Arabidopsis thaliana: one gene and its partners. The protein of the gene in region 4 binds, or shares a complex with, the protein of the main gene of each other region. Each region holds a gene or a part of one and is shown on either strand. Other genes may lie near its edges.

What was found.
Region 1: AT1G15770 (region 4) and PFT1 share a complex: the UniProt entries of both Arabidopsis thaliana proteins name them as parts of the mediator complex.
Region 2: AT1G15770 (region 4) and MED19A share a complex: the UniProt entries of both Arabidopsis thaliana proteins name them as parts of the mediator complex.
Region 3: AT1G15770 (region 4) and GCT share a complex: the UniProt entries of both Arabidopsis thaliana proteins name them as parts of the mediator complex.

What each region holds. Positions count from the first base shown.
Region 1 is NC_003070.9:8,968,789-8,976,742, forward strand, and holds PFT1 (phytochrome and flowering time regulatory protein (PFT1)), read right to left. Parts: upstream 6,028-7,954; 5' UTR 5,659-6,027; coding exon 5,555-5,658; intron 5,050-5,554; coding exon 5,019-5,049; intron 4,827-5,018; coding exon 4,763-4,826; intron 4,642-4,762; coding exon 4,511-4,641; intron 4,307-4,510; coding exon 4,103-4,306; intron 4,011-4,102; coding exon 3,945-4,010; intron 3,802-3,944; coding exon 3,585-3,801; intron 3,469-3,584; coding exon 3,401-3,468; intron 3,102-3,400; coding exon 2,304-3,101; intron 2,229-2,303; coding exon 2,175-2,228; intron 2,029-2,174; coding exon 2,000-2,028; intron 1,868-1,999; coding exon 1,799-1,867; intron 1,704-1,798; coding exon 1,619-1,703; intron 1,278-1,618; coding exon 1,191-1,277; intron 1,108-1,190; coding exon 604-1,107; 3' UTR 277-603; downstream 1-276. Other genes in the region: AT1G25550 (myb-like transcription factor family protein), read left to right, coding at 7,856-7,954. UniProt on the Arabidopsis thaliana protein: Component of the Mediator complex, a coactivator involved in the regulated transcription of nearly all RNA polymerase II-dependent genes.
Region 2 is NC_003076.8:3,952,638-3,957,825, forward strand, and holds MED19A (mediator of RNA polymerase II transcription subunit 19a-like protein), read right to left. Parts: upstream 3,549-5,188; 5' UTR 3,272-3,548; intron 2,707-3,271; 5' UTR 2,649-2,706; coding exon 2,621-2,648; intron 2,499-2,620; coding exon 2,209-2,498; intron 1,975-2,208; coding exon 1,738-1,974; intron 1,549-1,737; coding exon 1,489-1,548; intron 1,329-1,488; coding exon 1,278-1,328; 3' UTR 1,182-1,277; intron 740-1,181; 3' UTR 503-739; downstream 1-502. Other genes in the region: AT5G12220 (las1-like family protein), read left to right, coding at 1-377; CLE22 (CLAVATA3/ESR-RELATED 22), read left to right, coding at 5,103-5,188. UniProt on the Arabidopsis thaliana protein: Component of the Mediator complex, a coactivator involved in the regulated transcription of nearly all RNA polymerase II-dependent genes.
Region 3 is NC_003070.9:20,635,743-20,640,397, reverse strand, and holds the start of GCT (RNA polymerase II transcription mediator), read right to left. Parts: upstream 3,019-4,655; 5' UTR 2,805-3,018; coding exon 2,781-2,804; intron 2,700-2,780; coding exon 2,626-2,699; intron 2,533-2,625; coding exon 2,393-2,532; intron 2,307-2,392; coding exon 2,220-2,306; intron 2,059-2,219; coding exon 1,971-2,058; intron 1,882-1,970; coding exon 1,804-1,881; intron 1,557-1,803; coding exon 1,479-1,556; intron 1,390-1,478; coding exon 1,310-1,389; intron 1,057-1,309; coding exon of another isoform or gene 1,002-1,056; intron 906-1,001; coding exon of another isoform or gene 871-905; coding exon 792-870; intron 683-791; coding exon 356-682; intron 115-355; coding exon 55-114; intron 1-54. Other genes in the region: AAE18 (acyl-activating enzyme 18), read right to left, coding at 3,739-3,855, 3,949-4,158, 4,252-4,350, 4,443-4,568, 4,645-4,655. UniProt on the Arabidopsis thaliana protein: Component of the Mediator complex, a coactivator involved in the regulated transcription of nearly all RNA polymerase II-dependent genes.
Region 4 is NC_003070.9:5,426,203-5,430,188, forward strand, and holds AT1G15770 (mediator of RNA polymerase II transcription subunit), read right to left. Parts: upstream 2,079-3,986; 5' UTR 2,014-2,078; coding exon 1,927-2,013; intron 1,604-1,926; coding exon 1,094-1,603; intron 975-1,093; coding exon 690-974; 3' UTR 506-689; downstream 1-505. Other genes in the region: AT1G15760 (Sterile alpha motif (SAM) domain-containing protein), read left to right, coding at 1-120; AT1G15772 (mediator of RNA polymerase II transcription subunit), read right to left, coding at 2,499-2,732, 2,816-2,890, 2,983-3,030. UniProt on the Arabidopsis thaliana protein: Component of the Mediator complex, a coactivator involved in the regulated transcription of nearly all RNA polymerase II-dependent genes.

The DNA of each region.
Region 1 (7,954 bases), 3.5 Mb from region 4:
ACAACATGAGAAGCATTTTTGTGTAAGGTTTACGGGTTTCTATTTTCTTGGTTTTCAAAATGAAATTTGATTTATGATGATAATTTAAACTTAAAAGATTTAAAAAATCCTAGTTTGTCAATGATGTAATTTTGAGCAAGTAATTCTCTGATGCAATATGCAGTTGGAAATGGTATATTTAGATAAGTTTGTTTAACTATCAACCATAAACCTTTTCTAATAGAAATGTATATTTCTTACCTGCAAATAAAACACAAAGTCCAATCATGACCCAACTATGAAATGGGTTTGATCCTTTATTTCCTTGTCAATCAAATAAAAAGCTAGATAACAAGTTATTATCAGCATATAGAAACACCAACAAAATAGAAATCATCCACTTTTTTTCTATTTATCTTAAGAAAATGACAAAATAGTTTGGTGCCGTAGCTAAATGGTCAGACCCATACAGAATAGGACATGCCATTTTCAGGCTCAAAAGAACAGAAAGGACAACTAAACAGAGTCTAAAACCATGGCGACGATCGAGTTGACCAAAGAAGAAAGAAAGAATGTTAAGTTATGATAAATCTAATTAATTAGCACTGAAGCTGATATTTTTATTTATCCCATGAAGCCAGCTCCAGGCATGTTAGGCTGCCCTCCACCACCACCTTGTTGTGATCTTCCAGGGGCTTGTGCAAAAGCTTGACCACCCATTACCATCTGTTGAGGCTGCTGTTGCTGCTGCATCTGATTCAGAGGCGAAGTCTGTTGCTGCATCTGATTGAGCGGCGAAGTCTGCTGCTGCATCTGATTCAGCGGCGACGCCTGCTGCTGCTGCTGATGATGGTGTTGAAGCTGTGTCAATTGATGCTGCTGCTGTTGTTGCTGCTGTTGTTGTTGTTGCTGCTGATGATGTTGGAGCTGTGACAATTGATGCTGCTGTTGCTGTTGCTGCTGGTGTTGTTGTTGTTGTTGCTGGAGTTGTGGCATCTGTTGCTGTTGGAGGTGTTGTTGTTGTTGCTGCTGCTGCTGGATCTGCTGTTGTTGTTGTTGTTGCTGGTGGAGTTGTTGTTGCTGCTGCTGTTGCTGATTTGGAATTTGTGGTTTAAACACAACCATATCCTAGGAGTAAACAAAACAACCCTCAAGAGTCACTAATGTGAAGCAAAACATATATAGACACCTTAAACTTAGTACTTCCTTACCCCTGGGAAAAGCATTCCAATCAAGCGGCAAGCCTTGTCAGAGACAGAGAGAAGAAGCGTCTGTGATGGCAACTGGATGACTGCACACTGCAATACGGAGGATGACAAAGTTATCATATACAACTCCACAAAAGCTAAGCGTGAAAATGACAATAGTATGGCACACGATTAGGCTAATCAAAACAAGGCTACATACAAGCGTAGGCATCGTTAAGTGTATGGTGAACATAGCAAGAGATTGATAGATTCACCGAGAACATGTTTACAGATGTAAGTACATATATTTTTTCAAAGATTTTCATTCTTAACATCTAATTCATCCTAATATCTAATAAACCAGTAAACACCATTCATCATTTTGTTATTAAATTTGTAGTGAAACAATAAGGAAAAGGAGACAAGTGGCATAAATTATCAACAATACTCACAAGCTTTTTATCCTGAAGTTGTCCTAAGAACCCATGTTGACTCATGGCCCGAAACACAAGGAAGTCAGCTTTGCCAACATATTGCCTGATGCAAAGTCAGGTGAAATATTTAGTGGCATGAAATCAACATCCACCCATGAGCCATTTGGAATAAGGAAGGATATAGCACGAAGATATTACTTGTTATTCATATGGTCCTGGGATATGAGACGAACAATCTGCATAGTTGGTGGCCAGTTTGCTGCCAACCTGGGGAGATGCACAAAAAGAGAAAGCAAAAATTAGTTTAGCAGCTACAATCATTTCTTAAGGAGTCGACTGCTCTCCTGACAAGGTTTAGTAAGGAAGCAGTTTTCATATTTCAATTAGTTATAAACTTACGAATCAGAGGCAGAAGCACTTCGGTAACCCTGTCAAATATAAACAAAGACGTTAGTTAATATCTACTTGGAACAATTCAACAAAGTTCTACAGAGGAAGATGTGCTTAAGCATGTGATCCCAGTAAATTCAGAAAAGGGGAAAGAAAAGTGCATAGTAAGTGCCCCTAAACACACCTCAAGTCTGGTGATAAGAACAGGCTGCCCTTGCCTTTGCCCAGATAAATTTCCCTGCATGAATTTGAAAATGTAAGTAAAAGTTAGCACAAGATCACCGTTATTTTAGACAAGATAAACTGACATTACCTCCCAGACTTTCACATATTTGGATTGTGAAGTCTGCATAGCCCCCGATGATGGCTGTGATAGCTGCATATTAGGAGCTGAGCTGTTACTGCCACCAAGTTGTTGTATTCCTGATTGCGCTTGTTGGCCAACTCCTGGAGTAGGCATCATTCCACCTGTTCCAGAGGAGACATTTCCTTGACCAAGACCACTCATCATGTTTTGGTTCATGGAAATTCCACCTTGCATCATTGCTCCAGAATGACTTCCTTGGTTCATCCCTTGCATTGGTTGTGAAACACCAAGGTTTGAAGCGACATTTGACGTTGTTTGAGGACTAAAGGCATTATTAGGACCCGGGCTTTGTCCCGTTTGTGCAGATCCCATTAGTGCACCCGAACCAGCCATTGAAGTAATTCCCTGCTGTCCAGTTGAAAACACAGTTTGTGAAGGAGGCAAAGATGTAGCCATTCCTGTTGATATCATATTTGACATATGCATTGCAACCGCACTTTGCCCAACCGATGAGGCTGCACCTGCCAGAGCTGCAGAGCTCATGACTTGTCGGACTTGAGAAAGATTATTAAGCAGATTTACATTGGCTCCACCAGGAGGACCAGTACGCAATGGTGGCGTCATTCCACTGACCACCACAGGCTTAATATCTGGTGCATTCTCGGCGTTGCTGACCATATCCTGAGAAACTGGTGATGCTGAAGATGTTTGAATCGAAGGAATTGCTTGTGTAGCAGGCCGAGCTACAGCCGGGATATGGGGAAAACTAGGAACTGGTGCCATAGAAGTTACGGTGCTAGGCTCCTGCAATTTCATTCCAAAAATCTGATTAACAGGCTTCTACTAATGTGAAGATATGCTATCTAATAAGCTGATTGAGTATACAATATTATTTCACAAATGGGATATTCATATGAACTTAACATTAAATCTAGTTGATTAACACATAAAAATTTGTAATGTCTTATCAAGCACCAGAGAATAAATTTACAATTCATTTTCGGCTAATATCTAGTAAATAATTCTTATAAAACATACAAGAGTCGGTTGCCAATAGATAGAGCTGACTCCTCCAACTGACTAAAAAGATCAAATAGACTTACAACTTTCACAGTAGCAGTTGGAACTGGTCCAACAGAAACTGGTTGCCGATTCTGAATAGGTCCATTGGCTGAAAATCATACAAAAAGAGATCTTCATATAGAGAAGCAGGATAGAATCCAAAGAAGCACAAAGAAAAATCAAGATAGTTGGACTAAGAAAAATGGATGTTGTCAGTAGAAGAACCTGATGACACAGGAGCTGGAGGTTGCCCAGTGACTGGAATAGATGGAGCAACAGTGGCCCTGTCCACTTTCACAGGGCTCTGAGTCTGTGGCAAATTTGTAGCAGAATGACTTAAGGCAGCACATGCCTCCACAAAATTCTCCGAGATCAGGACAAGATAGAATGTGTTCTTAGCCGTGTCAATTGACAAGTCCGCACTTTGTTGATTGGGCTTTCCCTGCATTTAAAACAGTATAAAACAAAGATTACACCAGTTTATAGCATTGAGAATAAAGACAGCCTTTGAAAGAGCTGTCTGACAAAAGAAAGACTTTTGATAGATGTACATCTAGTGAATAGCAAATAGACACGCAGTCTCACCGCATTGTATAGTGCTCTAATTGTTGGAAGCTGCTTTGGACATACAACAGACAAAGAAACAGAACACTGCACACCAATATGGCAGGTTAGTAATTTCCCATTAAAAGGAGTAATTATAGCTAGTTGTAATACCTGGGGGAATCAGTTAAAAAAAGTACCTTAGCAAAATATGAAGCCACTGTCTCAGCATCTGATAATCGACTCTCAGCTTGCGCATCACCATTCTCATTCCGTTCCACATTTTGCAATCGTGGACGATATACAGGTGTTGGCAATATGTGAGGATTGCTGGCTGTGATTAGGATACAGTGTCTTTTCAGATCGTTACTTGGTTGAGCTTGGCCTGAAGGAGGAGAAAACATCTGTGTCATGAAGTCAGAGAAAATTGTGAGGTTTAAGGATCGAGAAAATCGCTGACAGAAGCACCACCACATAAAATGAAGCCATGGAAAGAAAAAAGTTAATTTTATTGAGAAAGTAAATTAGTCAAAAGTAGCTTGAAAGAAAGTGGCCCAAACATATGTCTTATAGTTGTGTCACAGATGAAAAGAGATCAAGTTTCCCACCATCAATGCTTCGGCAAGCCCTTCAGCTGTGGCAACCTCATTGAAACCACCACCACCAAATTGTATGGAAGAAAGCCAATGCAAGAAAATATCAACATCCCTTGTCCAGCCACTCCGTTGTACCAAGCAAGCTAAGAAGAATGAAAGATAAGAACAACATTACTAAAACAAAAGCTAATGTAACCAGGGCCATGAGAAAGCACCCAAATAATATTTGTATTTGGATATCACAAGATGAAGCACAACACGTACCACAATATGAACCATGAGAATTGAAGATCACCAGTGATAGCTCAACAGTAGAAACAGGGTTCCTCTGCAAGTTTAGTGAATATATAAAGACTCGATCAGACACATCAAACTACCAATTTGCTCTGTTATTTTTTGTGTCGCAATGATTTGACAGATAACGAATGTATATGAGTTTGGTCAAAAACATTGATTAACTGTTTGCTCAAGAATGAAAACTTGAGTAAACTTAAAAACGAGGATAAGTCAGATATAGTACCTCTCCATTTAACTCACTGCCACAGAAAGACCTGGACAAATGCAAAGAATGCATAGACAGATTATGTAATTGAAATTTTAACATACAAAAACGCTACTTTGAAATACAATACTATGTTGAGTGGATATTAAGAATAGCCAACAATGTGATTAGTTACAAACTATACAGGCAATTATATACTAAATTCTCTGTAATCACATATTAATATCAATTTTACGTGATCGAAGTGAGAAACTACAAATTCATTGCTTTATGAATGCGTTGTATCGAAAACAATGTCCTAACACAAAAAAAGAATGTAGGAACCATAAGGTAACGTAAAGTGATTGCTCAATATGAAACACAGAACAATCAAATACATAAACACAGTACTAACAACGAACAACAAAACATTGTGGAATCAGAGGATAAACAAAGGTTTGATCTAACCAATTGAAATTAAAGCCTGATTCGAACGGTATCAGCTAAACCCTAACTCCGAATGAAAATCAAATAACGAGGATTAAAAGAGATACAAGGTTCATAAAAAGAAAAACCTGATGATTTTCTCGAGATAGTCGGAGACGATGGTTTGCCAATAAGGACCCAAAGCGGCGGTGCCTTCAGCAACGACGATCAGCTGTTTCACCTCCGACGACATAGTCTCTGAGCGTTGTTGTTACGTGAATCAAAAGAAAATTCAGTCTCTCTCCCCTTGGAATTTGGTGATTCTTCTCGAGCCTAACGATTCGCCGACGGTAATTTCTTTGGAAATTTTTATTGAAGCTCGTTCTTTGTAAATTGTAAGTTTCCTTCTTCTCCGGGAGAGGAGAAGATAAATTAGATTGACAAAATTTGGTTTGGATGCTCCGAATAGAAAATGGGATATACAAAGGACTTGGTCGTTACTATCTTTTTATTTGTGTAAATTGGGCAATGAATTTAATTTTATTTTTTTTGGTGAAGAAGTGAATTTAATTTGATTAGATTGTTTACCATCTGTGGGATAAATGCAGAGAATCTTGTGAAGAATATAATTGGTTTGGAGGTGGTTCATCGAACGCCAAAACTAACAACAAGCTTAAGGTCGATCACGTAAAAAAAAATGAAAGTAACCAATTTGATATCTTATTTTGGGCTATGTGGATAAACATTTTGTATACATAGTTGTAGTTAGTCCAGACTTGAATCAAATAAAGGCCATGATAACCATTGTGAAGGCCATTTAAGATTGGTCCAAAAGTTGGACATGGGCCGCATGGCCTTTTTATCTGTGTTTTTTTCTTTTCAGAGTGGCCTAGTGGAAAATAGGATCCAATTTCGTATGTCAGTCATCTTAGACTAGTTGATGTCAATGACTTTTTGTGGAAGAGATGAGTCATAGAAGACGGCTACAAAGCTATAGATTTTGCTGATCCCGATCGTTGTTCATATGGTAGTATTGGTAGTACTAAGGGAGGGGCAACACATTGTAAATTGCCATGCAATGCTATGGAAACGTGAGTTTGTGAGAAGTCATGAGAACCCAAAATCAACTACTTTTCACGTGGTAGTTTTTTTTTATCTAATACAATGTTGGTGGTCTTCACATCCATGGACATTATCCATAAGACCATAACTCAAAGAAACCATCACAAATGAATAATTATCATCTTCCTTAAATTGCTTCTCACTGTTTACGACCTCTCGAACAATTTGACTTTACCACAACTCAATCCATCACCTAGTTATAAGCTTTTACAATTGTCCTTAAAAATCCAAATTTAATTATTGATACACAATAGTTTCTACAGTTTGGTAACCGTAGCAGACAGTACAAAAACCTCAATCTCCAAACTATTTAGAGAAATTTTCTCAAGAATACATACTCAAAATTAGACACTTAATTCCGTTTTATAGTGTGTGTTTTTTTGTGTGTGTTTTTGTCGCCAACCAATTTAGAATCGTCAGGTATTCACGAGAATTGCTTGAATATATCACAACACAACAACACACAATGAAGCGCGTGAAAAGAGGCGAGTAGGTTGGTGTGATATGGGGCAGGTGGCTCTTCGATAGCGTGAAGGGCCAAAATTTAACAATTCATGAGGAAACGGGGGGATCTGGATATGTGTGAATGTCACTCTTCCAAAGATTCTCTCCTTCCCAATTTTTTCCAATTTAATATGTTTTTTTCCAGCTTAGTTTCTCCCCTACTCTCGAGGAATATTCCTCCACTTTTGCCAAAAACTTCTTTATCTTTTTCTTTTCTGATAAAAATGTAATTTATGATATGATACCATATAATATATTCTAAACTGTAAATTTAATGAATGTTTAAAATTTTCTGGTTACATATCTTGATTCCAATCTCTATGGATATTCTTCTTCACTCGTTTGTTATTACAAAAAAATTCATGTGTATATTTCTAAAATAGGTAGAGAATAACCGAAGAAAAAAGAAAGAGTTAGTAATGACTAAAATGACTCGTCGTTCTTATCTCAACGTCAACGTCATGAGAATGCTGACATCATCGCCAGCTCGATAGAATATGGAAAGGAAGGAATCCACATATCCCCGAATATTCTCCCTGTATCAAACAAACCTCAGCCTATTCCTATATTTACCATTCTACCCTTTCCCAAGTAAAATCCGAATAAATCTAAACATCAAGAAGATTCGGTTTTAGGTACGCGACGGCCCGACCTCGATTAGACACCAATCCTCTTTCTCTGCCCTTTAAAACTTCCAACTTAAAAACGTCAAAGTTTTATCCTTTCTCTCTCATTTTAGATCCAAAACTCTTCTCTGTCTCTCTCAAGATTTATGTTTTCGTAACTGTAACTCATAGCAAAAACGAGTCTAAGATCTGTTCATAATGATGATGTTCAAGAGCGGTGACATGGATTACACCCAGAAAATGAAGAGATGTCACGAATATGTAGAAGCTCTAGAAGAAGAACAAAAAAAGATTCAA
Region 2 (5,188 bases), on a different chromosome or scaffold from region 4:
TCATTGGATCTTCTGGACGTTTACCTCTTCTTGACAATCAGAATGCTAAGAGCATCTCAAAACAAGCACAAGGTAACAACAATGCGAAGAGAGGAGCTGAGTGTAATAGAAATCAATTGGAGAAATCGCCATGCAAGCGAGCAAGGAAGAGTGCAGGAGATTCTGAATCAAATGATGTGACATTGGAATCATACGAGGAAGAAGCTGAGATGGAAATAGAACATGCATATGAGGAAACTGAAACTGTAGCAGAAGAGAATCTGATGTGGAATGATGAAGAGGAAAGTAGAAGCTGCCTTATGATAGATGGTGAATGGAAAAGAGTAAATGATGGAGAACTCTCGGGGATGGCTTCTAGTGTTACAATTTGTGTTTGAGATTTCGACAGATGTAATCATATAATCCGACATATTTTTGAGAAAATAGTTCAGATATTTGATCAATTTTTACAGGCATAGTCGCAGACAGATAGACATTGTGACACTCAAGTAAAAGTAAATAAGTGGATTTGACAGTTACTTTTTCAACAACATCAATTGGTAAGTAAATTATTATACATGAATAGTAACGATTTGTGTTGTATTGAGTATATAGACAGAAAAGAGATGGAATAGAACACCCCAAGAAAAATGTTACAAATCTGACACCAAATCAATTATGATACTAAATTCTTCTTCTTCATTTCACAAATTTCCCCTTTCTTCTTCAAGGAATGAATTCACCAGTTTGGGCTTTTAACCTACAAAGCCAATCATTTTGTTCAACACAACTTGAAAATATAAGAAAGTAACAAAAATGTAAGCAATGATTTGTGTTAGCTGAGACTGTTCTATTTAGAAACACATCCTATCTTTGATATGTTCTTTCGACAGGTTACCCGATTTTCATTAGTTATGTATCACGGCAACTTTCTTAAGACCAGAAAAGAATCCAATACCAATACAGAAGTCGCACAGAGACACATACAATGTTCCCTTGCAAATGTTGCGTTATTTGGATTTCAGTAACTTAAAGAATACAACACAAAACTCAAGTATCTGCCTAAAAATATTATGGGTTCAGTTCCCCTAAAGTATAGTATCTGGACTATAACAGATGTATATGTTCTATGAAGGATCCCGGAATACCAAGAACACCGAAAAAATTGTACAAAAGAGACAGGACAGTACACAGATGCTTACCTAATAAGCTGTCTACAGTGAGTTGAAAAGTGCTTCTAAAGTCTCCATGACACCTACTCGAGTGCAGAATACAAAATTGGAATGTCTACAACTTTTTTAGCCAGCAACCCTTATTGCACCCACCTCATCAAGCTTTGAGCTTTTATGCTGCAACAGGTTCAATCAAGAGCTGAATCAATACAATTTATCAAAGACATATTACTAGTTCTCTAGCACCTTTGTGCAAAAAAAACATTATGGTGGAAATTTCATGTTGAGTGTTAATGAAGAACGAGAAAAATTTGAGGCCCCACTTCATTACCATTACCTTGTTTTTTTTGTGCCTCTGAACGTCATTAAGATCTTCATCTCCATCGTGTTTCCTTTTCTGAAATATAAGTGAAAAGGCTCCATAAAAACTCAATAAAATGTTCTAGAGCAGTCTCTAGATCTGCTAATTTCATGCCAAGCAGGTCAAAAAAGCAGCCTAACTCAAGAGCAACAAATACAAAACTTTCCATTAAGCTATTCTTCTTTGGAAAGACAGACACCTTCAACAAACAGACATGTTCTTTACCTTATCATGATGTTTCTTAGAATGATCACCCGAATCATGGTGGCCATTTTTGTCCTTCTTTCTGTCTCGGTCCTTGTCTTTATCTTTATCTTTGCTTCTATCTTTATGTTTGTGCTTGTGCTTCTTATGCTCTCTATCTTTGTCTTTATCCCTGTCCTTGTGTTTCTTATGTTTCCTGTCCCTATCTTTCGACTCACTTTTTGACTTAGACGGAATTGTAGGAGCTCCCTTCTCTGCCTGAAAGAAGAATAGTACCAAGGTCAATCATCTCCATAGGACACCCAGATGTAATTCACATTACTAGGGAAAGATTCTCAATTAACCAAAGAACTTGATGTTACAGGAAATAGGACATTCATTACTGAGCCAGTTTTTAAGTTCAATGTAATGGCAAATACTGTTACTCTTATGAAAAGAAGGACATTTAAAACTCAAAACACCAAGAGAGAGTGAGAAAGATCAGATTCTTACTGGGGGTAATTCAACAGGAGTCATATCATTTAGTTGGAAAGACTCCTGAAGCTCATCTATATCAAAAGGCTGGATGCGAATATTAGTCTCCCGGCTCTGTGATATGCTCTCAATAAGCTGATCTAATTGCATTCCTTCTCCTTTTCTGATCTCTGTGTCCCCAACCACATTATGAAGATAATGGGAATCTGATAAAGAAACAGGAAGAGATTTCTTGCAAAAGAATTCATGGTGTTGCACTAGTTTGAATTGAGATATAAGATCCGCAGCACCGCACAACTCTCTTGGACCTGCACTTGAAACAAACAACACATTGACCTCAAGGTGAGCCAAAGGGGAAAACAAAGGACAACGAGCTACAAAAAAAATAACTTCACGAACTGAAGAAGCTCCAAATTCGAAACCAATGTACCTCCAAATTTTAAACGTTCAGGCTCCATCTTCTCTATCGCACTCTGAATTTCTTTTGCATGATCACTGGCTCACTGCATATATATCCTACACAAGGAAACAAAAATCAGAAAAAGCATAGAGTGATAAGGAAATAATACTACTACAGAAAGCAAATTCAGCTTCGATACTATCTAAACTAACAATTCTGTAGCACAAACAATACAAAAGTTATAACTAAGCACCAGCTCATATTTCATAGTGACCAAAACTAAGAAGTAAGAAAATCTAATTTAGCATTAGATGCTATCAATTCTCAACTTTTCTGCTCCAAGCTCAAAAAAAATGAAACTAGCATCAGAAACAAAACCCTAGAAAGTTTTCGGAAGTTTGTAAAAGTAAAATTAGATACCAAGTCCATACATTTTGGATCTAGTCAACAAGAAAGTTTCATCAATTTGTTCTATTTAGGAATGAAGCTAACAAAAAAAAAATCAGACAAGCGAAGTAATCACTAGAAACGAAGATTAGACTCGATAAAAAAGCTTCAAGCAGAAGAGAAATTCGAAATTGAGGAATTTGGAATTCGAAAACGAAACAAGACAGAGCCCAATAGCAAAACCAAAATCTCAGATTCAATTGGTAGGAGAAAGAATCGAAACAATCAACATACACGTTTCTTTCGACAAGCCCAGATCTCGTTTGAGAAAGCTAGCTAACGAAAGCAGCGAAACGTGAGGGGGGAAGTGTTTGGGTCTTGGGCTTGGGTATCGAATTCCCGCCTAAAATTTTGATTTTAGCAAGTGATCGAGAAAGGACAGAGATCGAAGAAGGTTCGAGAGAGCGAAAAAGCGAGACTAGTTAGGGTTTGAGAGTCTTTTGTGTCTGATGACCAATGAGAGAGGAATTATTCTCTGTTTTCTTCCGTTGGCTTCTCTCTCAATATAATCAACAAATTACAGTCAGCCTTTTTTTATTATTATTCAAGGGCTCCGCGTGGGCTTCACGCGCTCCTTCAACACGGCCCACTTAACCAGACAAATCAAGGATCTTCCATTAGCTAAACCGTATTCGAACCGAGTAATGAATCTCTCTTTAACCGGTGGTACTCTTATCCAAACAAAAATATCCACGACTATTTATATCCGATTTAGATTGTTATCTCTTTCTATATTTTTTATTTACTTGAGTGAAAAACATGAATTGTTATTCTAAAAAACCATTATAAGACCGAAAATTATCAAAACATAAATAATGTAAGTTTTCAGTGTTTTGGGTTGGTCGGACAGGTCTAATCCGATCGAGACATGCCTAACAATATCTTCTACAATTTAAGATGAAACATACGATGAATACATACGTGTATATTTGCTGATATAACATCAGAGACAAAGTGCTTGACGAGAACAAAATGGAATAATGGTATTTTTGGGGATTTGAGTTTGTATACCTGCTCTCTACTATGTAAATGATGATTTGTCTGCTGTAAAATAAATGGGAATATAATATATAAAAACGTGATGACTGATGAGGATATATTGAGGTACATATCACATATGGTGTTTCTTGACAAATATTGGACGTAAGTCTTTGTTTTTTCTTCTATAAACTTTCAGCTTGATTTCTTAAAAACATTTGTTGCACAAGTTGTAAATACGTTTATCGAAGGTAGAAGATGCATATTGGAGAATCATATCCATATATGTATCATGTATGTAATTTAGTTCTTGTGATACTGTTTTCTTTATTCTCTTTCTTAACTCATAATAAAGTAAAATTAAAAAAAAAAAAGTAATCTTAGAAAGACTAAAAAACGAGAAGCAAATATAGATATACAACATTTATATAAAATGGAGAGGAAGAAGATTCAAGTGGTAAGTGGATTTTTTCATGTGTGTGAGTGAGTGTAAATGTGGGTGAAGAAAAAGGGAGTGAAGACAACATCATTTTCCCCAAAGAAAGCTAAGTCTTAGAATCATCACTCCAATTCCCTTTTTGGCCCCTTCTTCTCTCTTTTCTATTTCTTTCTACTTTTGACCCCCTTCACATAATTACCTTCCTCTATATGCTTTATTATCACACCCTCATTACTCTCTAAAACTAACCACTATAAGTATATTATTAACCACACTAATTACTACCACTTGACCTAGTAATCCCAGCTAAGACCTTTGGAAATGATTCAACACACAAAAAAAACTTTCGTTAAAAATTAATGATATATATATTTACAAACCTCTATCTAGTTTCTCTTCTCTTTATTTGTAGAAAGTGGTGGAGAATAAGAAAGGGAGAGCAACAAACTTTTAGAGGAAGTCATAGGTTAAAAGCCCCATAGCTTTTTCTTCCATCACTTTCATTCCTCTCTTCTCATTCTTACAGACTTTGAGAGAGAATTTATTTAAGAGATCTTGATCAGATCTTTTATACTTGCAAAAATCGATTCTAAATATATAATCTATACCTTATAGAGAAACTCTTCATATCTTGAAGATTCCTAAGAGATGGGAAATTACTACTCTAGAAGAAAATCTAGGAAACACATCACTACAGTTGCCTTGATCATCCTTCTTCTTCTTTTGTTTCTGTT
Region 3 (4,655 bases), about 15 Mb from region 4:
TTGTGGATTTCTTTTGATCTTCAAATGTCGACGAGATAGATGAAAAAGACTCACCAGTGCATAAACAAAGATGAGCCTGCTAGTGACGGGCCTATCCAGTTTTGAAGCCAAAATCTGCAAGTATGATTTCACCTTGCATCAGCTCCAAGCTGAGGAAAGATCACAACTATTACATCTATTTAACATGGGTCTGAAACAATTACTAAAACTTCCACTACGATCACACAGAGTCAATTTGTTTTAATACATACATGGAATTCAACAGAAACGAAATAAATTTTATGTATAGCCAATCTGGATCTTACCGTTAAGTACTCAATGAATTCTAAATAACCACCTCACCTAGTCAATTTACCTTTTCAAAGAAAATTTCGCAAATGCCGACTGTAAGATTGGTACAAGCACTGCCTCAGCTGGATAGATGAACTTTTTTTCACAAACTGATGAAAGATCTGATTGTCCTTTACGGTGATCTTTACTCCCAACTGAAGGTTCAGGACACTGGTTATGGGGCAAGTTAACTGCAAAGGTCGAATTAGCTTGACTTGTGTTGTCATTTCTATTTTGGCAGCAACCAAGTGTAACTTCCACGTAGCAATGATTGCCATTTATCAGACGGGACCCACGACCAATATGAGAAGGGAGACCAACATATCCAGTCGAAGTTTTTAAGTTTCCAGAACTGTGTGAGAAAAAAGTATTAGTTGAGAAAATTGGATTAATCAGATTAACGGCTACGCACTCACAAAAAATGTTGACTTGGCATTCGAAAGCAAAGGTATGAAATGTACCTGAAGTAGACTTGCTTGACAAGGTCATTGGGACAGAATCCAGTAAGGCTGCCCCGCATTCCATGAGGAGAAACAATAACTGGTGGGAATAACATAGGCCTGTGAGAAGTGTTTCTATCAAATAAAAAGCTCTTATCTTTCTTTAAGCATGTGTAGAAGGCGGATTTCATTTCAGGTATCAATTCAAAAAGTTTGGCTTCATAGAATTACATGTAGCATAATCTATTATCCTCACTCTTGGCCAATCCCAAACATTTACGAAAAGCTCTTGTGACATGCAAAAAAATGAGGTGTTAAATCTTTGCTTGATGAAGCTAGGTAGCAGTAGCACTAGACTACACTAGGTTTCTTTTTGGAGTGGATGCATTGAAAATTGAGTTCAAAATGCTCTCAATCTATACAGTATTCTAACAGTACAAAGCAAGAAGAGGTCAACAAACATCTAGAACTAGTTCCATCAAAATCGTAGACAAGTAGGATAATTTATCAATCCAAATGATGATGGAAAAATAACTAACCTGGAAGCCTATAACTGGAGTTTTTCAAAGAACTCCTTAACATTCTTTCAGCATCGCCACTTGAAAGTGTGCGGACATTCCTTCGTGCATAAAATATTATAGTTAGTTTCAATAACTATGTGAAGCACTAAACCATAACTGAAACAGTATAACAAAAAGCTTTACGGACTTGGCAGATATAATGACATGGACAAAAACTGCCTCTTCGGTAGCAGCAAAGATGAATTCAACAGTAGGCTGTCCCCTCCTACATAAATATCCACAGAGCATTAGCGAGCCACAGAGCATTAGCGAGCCACAGACCTAATCATAGAATTCTTTGGATTCTAAGAATTACACTCAGGAAACCTAGGTCTCACAGACCCTATTTAATGAAAGCTATAGGATAATACATAATCGAAAAGCCATAGAGAAAAAAGACGATATATTTGCTAATAAACCATCAGAGATTATAACGCATGGTCTCGCTTATATTGGTAAGAGGTTGCAGATACCTCAAATATTCTTCGCTTTGAGGGCTGAATTTTGAAAACACATCTCCAAATCTCATGTAGGAAATTCCAGATAATGCTCTGTGGCGATATCAAACAAGTTAATATGATACTCTAATCCATTATTTCCTTAATCCAACCATTATGTCTGCAGATAATAAAAAACTAACCTTTCGATGCAATTACGTAAAGACTGTGAAAAGGCAACTGATATCTCTTCAGAGTCCCCAGGTGCTACCCAAATTCCTGACGCAACAACTTTCAACAGGAGAAAAAGAAAAGTAAGGACAAGTATACCAAGATAACCATAGACCACAGGCATGTTCACTAAACAGTCATAATCAGAATAGAGACAATATGTTTGAATCTATTGAGGCGACAAAATACGATGAAGAAAATAAATCATAAGGAGAATATACCTCTAAGCTTTGACACAGCAGCCTGAGCTTTATCAGATATTGATGAATGACGCCCAGGTAGAAAAAGCCAAAGCTTAATCTTTTCATCTGAGCAGCAGCGAGGAATGATGGTTAGATACAACTGTAAATAAAGTTACAAAATTTAAAAGTACCAGATTGAGATTTAGCATTACCAGGGTTGTATAAACCTTGAGATGGATCCCAAGGTCCAACAAAAGAATTGGTCCAAGTGGTAAGAAACCCTTCCTTCTGCAACCGTAGATGAGAGGAAAGTACAAGATATGTTGCAACTTCATTCTGCTCAGCTCTTGAACTGAAAAAAAAACTCCAGAGTGACCAGACTAATTAGTACAATGTCAATAAGGAAAAACTAAAACAACCCATTGAAAAAGCTTAAAGCTTTAACCTTCTATCAAAGCCAGGATTCAGCTCAGTTTCACTTGGAAGAAACTGAAACCAAGAAACATTATGTAGACCACCCTGTAGAAGAAAAATCATCATGTATTACCAATAAGTCAATTTTCACACACAATGGGAAAAAGATGATAGAATAAGACTTACAATTCTGAAAACATTAGTCCACATCACTTGGGGATAGATACAACAAGTTCAATCCTTTTTTTTCTTCAAATTATAGGCTATAACCCCAAAATCATCGTCTTGAAGCGCTCGGAATTGGAAGACGTTGTCAATTTCTAGCTCGATCTTCTCTTGATGTTGCGAGGTTTATATCTCTCTTTTGATCAAAACTCTTCAATACATCATAATCATCTCAACACGAAATCTCTCGTGGTTTTCATAAAACCAGATCCAAACGCGCTCTTTAGGGTTCTTTTTTTTTTGTTGCTCTTACTAATTCTTTTTTTTTCTGTGGCCCAATTTGTTTTAGTCAGGCCCAATTCATTATTTTCACAACACTCTGGTTCAAAAAAAAAAACCGCCAACCACAAGCATCATAAAAGAGTTTCCTCCAAATAAGGTGTTTAATATCAAGTGTTTTTGAAGTTTTGGTATTAAGATCTCATTCTTTCGAGTTTGTTTGACTTGCATCAATCAAATGAACCAAACAATGCTATGGTTTTACTTTATATTTTCTAGATTTTGTATACCACGATATAGCTAGACCTCGAATGATCTTAACGCTATCTTTGTATCGTTGGGTGCGGCTAGTTGTCTTCTGGTTCCATAGGTCATTCGTGGTGATACTATTCAGATGTCTCAAAGCCTTATGGGATGTATGAGTATCGTCCGAAATATTTTTACAAATTTAAACAAAAGATAATCTTGAGGAAAATTAAGATTATAATCTGATATGAAATATATACACCAAACACAAACACAAACATAACAAAGTCAAAGTGTTTAGTCATGTAAATGTGAATCAGGCTAGAGAATTCAAGGACCGGTAGATTTGATTTAATCGGTTTTCTTATTTGGACCGAGCAGTACCCAATCATGTGTAGATCAACTACTACTCAGCAGATCTTATTTTATTCTAGTTAAACTTAAGATCAAGGCTTTATATTCGACTTCGTAAGGATAGTAGTTCTTGCTTAATCTGATCTCTCAAGACTCTTCTCAGTAGCTTGCTAGAAGCTGTTCTTGGAAACTCCGGCACAATCTTCACAAAACTCACCTGCAATATTTTTGCAAAATCCATTTTTAAGCACACAAAAAATCTTATAATAACTTTGAATTTATAGAAAAACTCATCAAAGATATTGATTACCTTGAAGAGAGGATTAAGATCTTTTTGAATGGTTCTTGAAAATTTCATCTTTAGCTCTTCTCCACTCTGTTGCTTGAACCCTTCTTTCAAGACTGCGAATATGACCAGCAACTCTGGACCACCGTTAGGTGGTGTTAAGGTGACTGCAGCTGTCTCAGAGATGCACTCATCAGCTTGATCACACACACGTTCGATCTCAATAGAACTCGTCTGCGTTATAACAGATAAACAAAAGATGAAAACTTGAGAAAAGTTCCAACTCTAATCGAAGTTGGGTATATAGACATACAATGTATGTAGTACCTTAATGCCTCCAAGGTTCATGGTATCATCAGCTCTACCTTGAACATTGTAATATCCTCCAACAGTTCGCTTCACAATGTCACCGTGTCTTCTAAGTCGCTGCAGAACGCAACAGAACAGAGGAATCGTTTAACTGACGTAAGTTTGCAATTTTGTTTAGATGTAAATATAGAAGTTCTAAAACTACTCACTGTTTCCTTATACATGGGCATTCCCTTGAAGTAAACCTCGTCGTGATTTGCATTCAGAAGTCTATCCGTGGCCCCAAGGTGCTGGGGGAACAAACCGACTTCTCCAGTACATGGTTGATCATCCGGCTGCAAAAACCAGTCTACATCAATCTCTGGATATTCTAAGAAAATACTCCAAATGTCTAAAGTTTCAGTTTGTCACATATGGGACGC
Region 4 (3,986 bases):
AGCTTCTCAAGTCCCATGGTTTTCGATTACAGTTTCAAGGATGAGAAACTTTACGCTCAAGATACTTATTTTGAAGATATCAAATGGGATTCAATGTTTCAGAATCTCAAACCTACTTAGAAAAATCTCTAAGTTCTGTTTTATGTTTTCTCTTTCAGCTTCTTCTTCGTTCTTTATATCAGAATTGATGGTGAGAGATGAGGTTTTAGGGTTCTTCCACCATGTTTTCTTGATTTTGTCTTTGTATGTGATTAGGCTAGTTAATTTTTGTTAGTTAACAATTGGAAAATAGAGTTGAGTGGTGGTGTCAGGTGTGTATGTGAGTGTGTGGGGTCATTGTAATGAGTCTGTCTCTCCAGTCTTTGCTTTTGGCCTAAGTCTCTGTTCCAGTCAAAACTTCTTTACAGCTTTTATCACTTTTTACTCTTTTCTCAAAAAATGCTCTGTTTACACACATAACCATGACGCTAAGCCTGCCGGAGTGATCTTACTCTTGAGGTAATCGGAAAGATCTTGAGCTCAGGACACTACACAGTCTACACTAGAGCACACAAAACATTGTGCTTCCAAATTTTATCTGTTGTGTGTGTGTCAATTTTCAGATATACCTAAGGGAAGTGTAACTGAAAACCATACCTCAGTTCTTGGCTTCTTGCCACCACAAGTCACAGTAGATTCCATATCTGATGTTACCAAACCAGCAAAATGCTTGTAGCTATTACCAACGCTTTCCTCCCAATGAAGCAACACTTGATGGCATTGGGGTTGTCTGACGCTTCCTTTTCATGGTCGCCATCTTGCGTCATGAAGTTTCTTTCTTGGAGATGGCACTTAGTCATTGCAACCAAGTCCACACCAAATGAAGCTCTTGAACCTTTGCCTGGTACTGAACCAGCAATCCTATCAACCATGCTTACAACAGATCTAATATCACATACTGCAGACGAAAGCGCTTGTGGTGAGATGGATTTCATCTGAAAACAACAGAAAGCAAACATCAAGATCAGAACAATGTTTCCACGGCAAATGAGGGATGGCAGCAATGACACTGCCCTGTTGCAATATACCCTTCAAAATTAGTAACGTTACTTACGGCTCTAATAAGGCGTTCAATAGGCAGCTCAGTAGCACTCGATTTTCCACAAGTACTTGTCAAAGGATTTATAATATTTCCATCAGGACTGGTAAGCTCCGGAAGGAGAGGAGAGGCAGAGATCCCTGGAGTGCCAATTTCAAGGGATTGAAGTACACCTTGCCTGATCTGTTGTACCCTTGACCCAGCACCCTGCATGCTCATTGATTGCATCTGCAGAGTTGTTTGGTCATCATGAGACTGATCTTGAACTGTCTGAGATAGTGGTTGCTGCATAGGCTGAATCTCAGATTTCGTAAGCTGCAGTTTCTGTACTGTCTTCCTCAGACTCTGCATATTTAAGAAATTCATAATGTTGTTCTTGCGATAATCCATACTATCCTTCAAGTCAGGTTTGATATTGCTCTTTGAAAGAGATAGGAAACGTAGCATTCCCTCCAACACTGTCTTGCCTCGTTTCAATTTCTCAAACTGATCTGATCTTTGTTTCTGATGCGAAAGAGAATCCTCCTAGAGAGAAAACGGAACGTATTCAGTAGAAAAGAAACAAACATATAGATGAACGTTAAAAGTTTACAACCTCTGTAGGTTTGGGAAGGAATATATCTGTCAGAAGGTTAACTTCTAGTGAACTATCTGTAAGTATAAGAGTCTGACGAACCTTTTACTTTGTTAAATGGGTAACAAGAATCCTAAGTTGTAGGACTTTCATTTGTAACAATGAACTGATCTTGCATTGAATTTGTAAAACTCTTCATAAAGTACTTAGTACTGTTCCAGAGGACGTACACGTGCAAACTAACTTCCTAGGAAGAATGAAAACTGTAACTTACTTGCTGCAACTTGGCTGCTACTCTCTGGTAGATTTCATTGAGGTCTCTTTGATGGATTTGATCTACAAAGAAAAGCAATATAATCATACATACGATTACTCATCATGGTGATATCATCTAGTAACAGAGAGATGATCCTGCTAGTAACAAAGGAATAATCTGGTTGTCGTAGTAATCTTTCAAGTAAGGCATGACATTGCTTCTTTGAAACAGATAGGAATTGTATCATTCTTCGCTCCAACATTGCCTTCAATCTCTCAAATTGCTTTAATCTCTGTTGATGGGTAAAAGAATTCTGCATGAATTCAATAAGAAACCAAACCCTACCCTACTAGTTGACGGAACACTAAAGCACCCACCAAAAACACACCTAATCTCCGAGAAATTAACATTTACAAAAAAAAAAAGGGTCTTTATTCATTTTTCGATCATAACTTGATAGGAGGAGCCTGGTAGAAACAGAGCACCGGAGTCAACAACATTGAGGATGAGAGTTCAAAACACATCAGAAGAGAGAAGACCAACATAAAAAGAGAGAGAGACAAAATATCTACAATGCATTTCCTTGATTATTATGAGACTGATCTTGAAGCTGCCTTTGCTGTACTGTCTTCCCAGCCGGTTCTTAGCGTAATTAAGAAATATATAATCCGTTTCTCATAATAGTCCCATCTACAATCCTTTAATATCGGCATGATATTTCTCTTTCGAAGAGATAGGACTTGGATCAATTGCTCTATGTTTGTCTTCATGCTTTGGAACTTGTCAAAGTGCTTTGATCTTTGTTGCTGCGGAAGCGATTCCTCCTGAAAAAAACAAACAAACTAGTATTACTACATCTATACAACTTAAGGCAGAGAGTTAATAGTTGACAGTAACTACATCTTACATGGTTCAACTTGTCTGCAAGTCTCTGGTAAACATCAGTCACATGTGGTAGATAACGCTCTCTCATGGATCTAAGCTGTATAAACAATTACACACCACAATGAATGATCCCGATGATGATTTAAGAAAGGAGTTTTATTATTATGATGATTATGACTTATGAGTTACCTTTTGGAAAACCTCCTCCCGCCAATCATCTCCATTTTCATTTTCCATTGTATCTACTATCTAGTGTTGCTAGCCAAGAAAAATAATTAAAAAGCGAGATTCATTCATCATCAGAAACTGTGTAAAAAAAAATACAAAAACCTAAAATTAGAGGTACACAAGTATCATCAATCCATAAAACTAGTTTCTTATGCAAAAGGTTTTGCTATCGACGAATCCATGGGTTTACTATGACACGTAATGAGATAGGTGACTCAAAATAAGGACCTTTTGGCGATGAATCTCCGAGACTTAGAACGGTCCGTTTGGATTTGGTTTTTCTCCAAACGTTCTTACGTTTCAATCTTTCTTTTAATAAGTGAAACGTAGCAATTAGGGTTAAGGAGAAGAATTAGAGATGATTGTTTTTGTTTTAATCATCTTTTGATTTTATAGAGAAACAAACAAGAGAGAGCTAAATACAAGGATTAAAAGGCTTCAACAACATTACAATATCAGGTTATTAAGCGAGGCCCAATGACCCAATAATAAGTACTTATCAGGCCCAAGTCTCTTCTGCAAATAATAAGTTTTTTGGAGTTTTTTTAAGTTTTCTATTTCACACAGTAAAGGCTAAAAATCGAGTAAAGAGACTTGTAGAAAAACCAGTGAAATCTCCGGCTATTTGTGTGACCAAAATGTTAATTATAGTCATTAACTAAATAAATCTCGTTCATGTACTAATTTGTATAGACAATTACACACCACACTGATCACTCCTTGTATCTTCTAACTTGATGACTTTATGATGATAAATCATCAATAATTACAATAAAAAAGTTAGCCATTTGGTATATACAAAAAAAAAAAAATGTTTCAAACAGCCATTTTATTGTGACAACTGAACAGAGTAAAGAAGTTGAAACTCTTCTGAACGATCTCAAAATGCGTATTACAACAAATCTCAAAATACAACATTCAGCAAGACCCCAAAAAAGGGGTAATTGCACTTCAGAATTAGAAGA